2 linked regions of the Astyanax mexicanus genome follow. The protein of the gene in region 2 interacts with the protein of the main gene of each other region in a pairwise test. Links are inferred from orthologs where the notes say so. Each region holds a gene or a part of one and is shown on either strand. Other genes may lie near its edges.

Region 1 (3,930 bases), on a different chromosome or scaffold from region 2:
AGACTCACCGCGGTGGAACCTTTCTTCACGGCTTCCTGCGCGTACTCCACCTGGAACAGGTGACCGTCAGGTGAGAACACGGTGATGGCTCGGTCGTAGCTCATGGTGGTTCTGCTCAGTTCAGGTTCGGCTTCGGTTCGGTTCTGCTGGCTTGAGTCTCTCCCGGTCTCAGTTCTGTATGAAGTAAAAGTGAAAGTGAATTGACTGAATGAAACAGCAAAAATTCCAGCGCCCCCCTCCGGCACCAACACGCTACTGCACACAGGCCCCGCCCTCTAGCGCTGTGATTGGATAAGAGAGCTGGTAAAAGACGGCGATTGGTTAGAACTGGGTGGAATCAGCAGGGCAACAAGAACGAGTAGGAGATTCGCCAAATCTACAGTGATACAGCTTTTTATTCATTTATTTATTTTTTTATATTTTTACAAAATAACTATATAAGAACTATACTAATAAAACACAGGGATAAATTATAAATAGTCATTATTTATATAAAATAACACATTTGTAAAAAAAAAAATCTCTAATATAGATAAAAATAAGTGGCAATTATGTTTTTGATACAGGAAAAGGGAGAATATCTGGTTAAATAAAATAAATAAATTATAACTATTGATCTAATATAAGAAATAAATGAAAAATGCTTGTTCTAATACGTAAAAAATACATATTATATTTGTATGATATAAATACAAGAAAAATGCTAATTATTGATCGAATATTAAAATAAATTATAATTATGGACCTGATATGCCAAAACAAGTACTTATTATTTTACCAATATTTTCATTAAATAATTAATGATCTTAGATACTTAGCACTAATTATAATTTTTAATACAAGAAAAATGGAGGATAATTAGTGAACTATACAAATTATGTGGAATTAAATAGAAATTAAGTAAAGTGTGTCCAATGCAAATATATATATATATATATATATATATATATATATATATATATATATATGAAAAAATGTATACAAAAAAATTACACCAGAAAAAGTGCTAATTGCTTACCTAATATAAACGTGTAATTGTGCATAATTGAATTAAAAACAAATACTCATTTTAAGTTCTAGCCCAACATTGAAAATAAGTGCTTATTATTTGTACAGAAATACAGAAATAAAAAAACATTAAAACTGTGTAACTGTTTAATTATTTGTCTATTATAAGAAAAAAACATTATGGTGTAGCATATTTGTTGTATTATATGGTAAATATAGGTTTTAGCATAATGTGGACAGTAAGTAATTAATGATAATTATTATATTGATCCAGTAGGGACAATATATGTTTATTATTTGGCTAATATAGAAAAACATTAATAAGTTAAACATTTATACAATATGAGACGCTCAGAAAGTGCTCAGAAAATAACTATTAATGTAACATCAAAAATAATTATATTTCTAATTATTTATACAAGAAAATAAATAAATGAGAATAACCTAGCGTGTTAGTGAATGTAGGGAATAAGGAGTTAAAATTATAGAGACATAGCTGCGCATGCGCAGTGTGAGTACAGCGCTGTTATGAATGTGCGCTAGGCGGACTGTACCATAATCAGCGAGGGGGGTGTATTATTTACCCCCGGGGGCAAATCCAGCTCCTACCCTCCCTGATACACACCGCACCCCACCTGATCACCCGCGTGCGTTAGTGCAACAGTGTCCCGCGCGCTCTGGGCGCGTGCAGGTGTGTGCTGCCGTGTGCTGTTTGCAGGTGCAGGCTCGTGCGCCCCCCGCGTGCTCGGCGTGTGCGCGCGCGCAGAGAGACCCAAGCAGGCTCCGGGAGACGCGCGCGCAGAGACCTGTATATAAATATATAACACATTACTGGGGTATAATCCAGACTGGGGTGCGTGCACGCGCGTGCGCTCACGTTCCGGAGGTGCAGAGGAAGATGTCAGTCACGTTCTCGTCCACGCGCCCGAGGGGCAAAGGAGAGGTGACCCAGCAGACCATCCAGAAGGTAAGGGGGGGGGGGGGATGCTGGAGGCTGGTGCTGATGATGGTGGGAAAGTGATGCTGATGATAGTGATAATGATGATGATGATGATGATGATGATGGCCATAACGATGATGATGCTGATGCTGATGGTGACAGCTCGTCCATCCAGACAGTAAGACAATAGCCGCGCTCTGCATGCATGCCTGCACGTCCCTGCCTGCACTGGAGCTCGAGCTGCTGCTGCTGCTGTTATAATGCAATGCCACACTTGCCGTTTGCACGAGCTGTCACGTGCTGCACGTCAGCACATGCATAATTGCAGTTGGGAGCGAGCAAACCTTTTATCTTCTATTAAACATCTCCTTAAAATGATCGGTTTCTCTAATTTTACTATTTATATCTATATCTTTCAGTAAAATTGTTGTTTGATTCTATATTTTGATTTTCTATTTAATTTCAATAGTGACAACAATAATAACGAGAAAAGTACATTTTGTGATGGAACGCAGGATAGTTGTGCACCAAACATATCCTGGACATTTGCTAGGTGGTTATGTGTTGCTAGATGGTTTCTAATGTTTTGCTAGATAGTTGCTATGGTATCCCAGATGGTTGCAGGCACGTGCTATGGTGTTGCCAGGTGGTTGTTAATGTGTTGCTAGATGGTTGTTATGGTATTCCAAGGGGTTGCTAGCTAGTTGCTAGGGTGTTTGTAGGTGCTTCCTATGGTGTTGCTAGGTGGTTGAAAATGTGTTGCTAGATGATTGCTATGGTATTCCAGGTGGTTGCTATCTAGTTGCTAGGGTGTTTGTAGGTGCTTGCTAATGTTTTGCTAGATAGTTGCTATGGTATGCCAGGTGGTTGCCAGCTGGTTGCTAGGGTGTTTGTAGATGCTTGCTAATGTATTGCTAGATAGTTGCAATAGTATCCCAGATAGTTGCTACCTGGTTGCTTGGGTCTTTGTAGGGGTTTGCTTATGTGTTGCCAGATGGTTGCTATGGAGTTTGTGGGTTGTTGCTATGGTGTTGCCAGGTGGTTGTTAATGTGTTGCTTGGTGGCTGCTATGGTATCCCAGGTTGTTCCTAGCTGGTTGCTAGGTTGTTTGTAGGTGCTTGCTAATGCATTACTAAATAGTTGCAATGGTAGGTGGTTTCTAATGTGTTGCTGGATAGTTGCTATGGTATTCTAGATGGTTGCTATGGAGTATGCAGGTGCTTGCTATTGTGTTGCTATGTGGTTGCTAGCTGCTTGCTAGGCTGTTTGTAGGGGGTTGCTAATTTGTTGCCAGGTGTTTACCATGGTATACCAAGTTGTTGCTATGGTGTTGCCACATGGTTGCTAGCTGGTTGTTATGGTGTTGATAGCTGGAGGTAGTTTCATCTACAGCTCACAGTGAGAGCTAGCCAGGCTAAATATAAGTACAGCTTCCAAACATGGTGGAGGTAGTTTCATCATCTACAATTCGGTGAAAGCTAGTACTGTCTGAGCTGTCACCCATTGCTACTGACACAGATGTGCAAATGCACACACTGCTTGCCTAGTCCCTGCAGAAGAGTGCTGAAAATAACTGCCAATAGAATAGGACCCTCTGGAGCAGATATACATAAACCTATTGGAACTATGCCTAATGCCTGGACACACTAATGCTAATGTTGCTGAATGCAATCAAACCCTAACAGTAGTGCTCCAGAATATAGGAGAAAGTTTTATTTGGATAGTAGACATAAGGGAAATGAGGAGGTTCTGGGTGACCCAGTTTAATCAGAGCGAGTTCTGGTGGAACTGAAGAGCCAGAAACCCACAGCGGCTCTACAGCAGAGGTTACAGGTTTAGCTGAAGCTCTATTAACCTAATAATAGTGTGTGTGTGTGTGTGTGTGTGTGTGTGTGTGTGTGTGTGTGTGTGTGTGTGTGTGTGTGCGTGTGTGTGTGTGTTTTCTTATATATAAGATGCTGGATGAAAATCATCATCTGATC
Region 2 (3,930 bases):
GTAGGTGTTAAAATTTTAGCGTACCTCTTCAAAGTTGACACTGATAGCATTGTCGAGAATGCACTGACAGTGGGTTTTGTACATCATTATCAAAGTGTCCACCTAAACAAGAAACGCATCAACAAAGAAAGTAGCACTTAATTAAAACGGCAAATATACAGGATGAACACATCAAATAAACTATTTTATTCATTAGAACAACAGCAAACAAACCTTTTCCTTTGAAACAGAGTCATCAAGTACTAAATGCTGTGCACTTGGAAATTCTGGTAGTAATGTTCCTGTTTTAGAGCTAAGTGAATATTTCCGTGTGAAGCCCCCCTGTGATTTAGCAAAAGAAGACATGTTTTGAGGAACTAACAGAAATAACAATATTTCATATTTAATTCCTCATTATATTTAAGTAACAATAAACATAACATCAACTATTAAAAATGCCAACCTCATTTTTGAGCTTGCTCCCAGAGAATCTGTTACAATGCATAAAAGAGTCATTAAGTAAAAATAGCAATTATTACATTTTTTTAAAAGTACATTATACTTTTCTATAAAGCATTAATTTACATATTTAAAATTCTAAATCCTAGAATCTCCTGATCTGAGCAAAAACAAGCAGAAATGCATTGTTGGTTGAAGCTTTAAAATTACCTGGTAAGACCTTTTCCTGAATAAACTGAATGATAATAGGAGCTGCTCTCCTTAATCCCTATACCGTAGTAGTGATACCTGGAACAATAAAAAAATACATTTAAACACTGTTCATGACTAAAACTGGTGATCTGGCAAATTAATTAAAAAGTCATTTTTGTATCACTCTCACTCTCTGTGATCTGTCTTTGTCTTACTTTGAATGGCCTCTGGTGCCGAGCCTCCGGGTTGTAAGTAGTGGAAATTTCTGCCGTATAGTCTACAGTAATAAAGAAAGTAAACAATCAGTAAATAATAATAAATGTAAATTTTCTTTTGTTTTTTGCAGTGTACAAAATCTTAAAATCATTTTTCTACTATTTGAAGGAACACTGCTTACTTTGCCGAAAGTGGCGGCACAAGCAGGATCTAGCTTCTCCTTCCGACAGAAGTCCAGGTAATGAGCGTAGAGGATACAGCGAGGCAAGCACACACCTTCACAAACTATATAGTTTTCCTCAAGCCTAATTCATGAAAATGTAAAAAGTACAAAATAGGGCATAAGTTGTTTATGGAAATTGAGGTAAAGTCAATGTAATATTATTGAGTATTGCTTGATAAAACTAACTTGGTGTAACTGGATAAGGATAATGAAATAAGTACCACAATAATGTTAGTTGGGTCTGTTTCTTCTTGTCTTTGATGATTTGACTGATGCTTTTCTTTTCGACACTTTGCTTCAGAGCAATGTTCTTTGAGTATTCAAGGTGGTCTAAGTCATCTTCAGAGGATATGGTTCCATTGCTTTCCTCTGCCTCTGTCAAATAAATGAATAAACAAAGATTGCACTATACTTTCAATGGTCTGGTTAATCAATGCCATTTTTTAAAATACTGCTTTGAAAATGTAATAATTATTTTATCATAAACAACTTTCCTTACTGCTGTCTTTATGGAAAAATAGCTTAATATGCATTAAATGCCATTTTTATAAACTCTTGTTTTATAAACATTGTACCTGAGATTTACAAACATAACAAATTCCAGCATTAGACATTTATTAATTTACCATCATCCACCATAAAATATAATACCATAAAAAAAATATTTTACTGTGGCACAATTATGTATATCATATGAACTGTCGAAAAAAAACTTTCTATATATTTATAACTGACAAAATAAGATCTATTCCACTGTGTATGGACGGTGCTGTTAGACAAATAAACATGCCTCTAATATGTGATCCGATTAAAGCTCTAATCCTGACCAATCTAAAAATATGAAAAAGATAATACTAACCTGATTTAATTCCTGAATCCTCCTCCTCTTCCTCAAACGTTTCTTTGAAAAACATGTTTTTTCTAAGGTCTTGCTGCTCACTGGAGTTTGCTGGGTGGAAATCATCAGCATTACTGTAAGTCCTCTTTGGCTGTGGTGGCTGAAGCTGATGAAACATGTTATTCTCCACAGAACTTCCACTATTCCTTTTCATTGGCATGTTACCAGGTTCATTCAAAAAGATGAGCTGTGGACACACTCAGTCTTCCTCCGTTCCAGATATTTTCAATAAACACTTTAAAAAAGAGACTCCAGTTTGATGCATTGGTCCAGTACTGTAATGGTGCACATCTCAGGTTCTGGAGAAAAAAAATCACTAACACCAAAATGAAACAGTGTACACAAACATCCTTTACACTAATATTCAAACTGAAATTTAGAAAGAATCATTTTGTCCACATCCAAACATCAAGCCGCTGGAATACGTTACACCTTCCTGTCTTAATTAAAGCTGTGCTGTGTCTGAAATAGTACGTCACTGAGGTGAGTGCCTTGGGGGCATTTATCTTATTTACAGAAGACTGGCAGTAGATTCTGTGTATTAATGATTAACCCGAGGGGCCATCGTCTCCATCAAACCTGTTCTGTGGCCTTTCCACTGGACTATAGCCCCATCCAGAGCCTTCATTCTGCAGTGCCTGCTTTCAGCAGGGCTAGGGCAGCAAGATCATGCACATCCTTATATCCTTAGCACTATTTTTTTTTTTTCATCTGAAAGTTTTTACCATATAGATGCACTTTGTATGTTTGTGGTTACTGATTTTATCCCCTTCTACTGTTTTTTTTTTTTTTTTTTTGCATTTAAGGGTCACCACTAGCTTGAGAGTCCACCAAAAAAGATCATATGTGATTAGAAACAGACTACTAAACAGGGTAAGAGAATGACTTTACCAAGCCATGTTGATATCATTGTTTTGCTGAGAATGGCCCACCACTCAAATTACATGTTGTCATTAATGTTGCTATGATGGCCTTTTTCCGTTAATGAATATGGCGTGGGGATGGGGTTATAAATAGTCGAGGAGATGTCCTGTTTGCTTTTTTATTTTACATTATAAGGATTTAAAAATGCAAACAATCCACTTTATTTTTAATTATAGTAGATCCAGTACATAGGAAGACATTCCTATATATATATATATATATATATATATATATATATATATATATATATATATATATATATATATATATATATATATATTTTTTTTTTTTTTTTTTTTTTTTTTACTAGCTACTTGCATTTGGCACACTTCAACTATAAACTGTACTCTAAATGCTAATCTGAATAGAGCAGATTTAGCAGGACAGTGCACAAAATATTAACACAATAATCTGTTACAGACTAACAGGACCTGTCCTACGTGTGTGCTTCTGCTGCTTTTCATTTTTTTTTCCAGATGAAGTCAATCATGCTTACCTTTGCCTTAAATTCATCCTTGCATTGAATGCACACAGCAAGTCAATGGGCAGCTTTCACGTGGGCACCCAGGTAGCAGTAAGGGTTAAGGACCTTGCTCAGGGACCCAACAGTGAAGCTTAGCCAATACAAGTTTTAAACCAACAATCCTTTGCATTTTTAATTAAGCTTTTTTAATTAATCCTACATGTCAAACGCATTGTCTTCTAACAATATAAGTGTGCTTTGTAAGAAAATAAATAATTTTACTTTCCAATTACTGTAAATAGTAAATCTGTTGATCCAGTGCAATACTTAAGTACCAAAATCTTGAATTCTTTAGTACAACCACTTAAGTTCTACTCAAGACACTTTTTTGACAGAGCTCTTGTACTTTCACTCAAGTCTATGTGTCTAGTATTTTATACATGTCTGGTTATCTGGCATAAGGTGTTCATTATTAACAGTCTTGCCAGTATCTATTAGTTTAAGTGATTTTCACATAGAAAAACAAACCATATTTCCAAAATAGCAGTTTAATACATTTTAGTGCTCCTGAAAGTG

Evidence for each region.
Region 1: the proteins of rfx6 (region 2) and calcium-responsive transactivator interact in binary tests that used the Homo sapiens proteins (3 or more experiments, as listed by UniProt). The two-hybrid records come from large-scale screens. The link is inferred for Astyanax mexicanus from reciprocal best matches to the Homo sapiens genes RFX6 and SS18L1.

Annotation. Positions count from the first base shown.
Region 1 is NC_064420.1:51,064,396-51,068,325, forward strand, and holds the start of calcium-responsive transactivator, read left to right. Parts: upstream 1-1,588; 5' UTR 1,589-1,906; coding exon 1,907-1,975; intron 1,976-3,903; coding exon 3,904-3,930. Other genes in the region: proteasome subunit alpha type-7, read right to left, coding at 9-104. UniProt on the Homo sapiens protein: Transcriptional activator which is required for calcium-dependent dendritic growth and branching in cortical neurons. Recruits CREB-binding protein (CREBBP) to nuclear bodies.
Region 2 is NC_064408.1:80,257,137-80,261,066, reverse strand, and holds the start of rfx6 (DNA-binding protein RFX6), read right to left. Parts: upstream 3,024-3,930; 5' UTR 2,128-3,023; coding exon 1,929-2,127; intron 1,445-1,928; coding exon 1,291-1,444; intron 1,152-1,290; coding exon 1,028-1,151; intron 908-1,027; coding exon 846-907; intron 727-845; coding exon 649-726; intron 471-648; coding exon 443-470; intron 322-442; coding exon 214-321; intron 103-213; coding exon 25-102; intron 1-24. UniProt on the Homo sapiens protein: Transcription factor required to direct islet cell differentiation during endocrine pancreas development. Specifically required for the differentiation of 4 of the 5 islet cell types and for the production of insulin.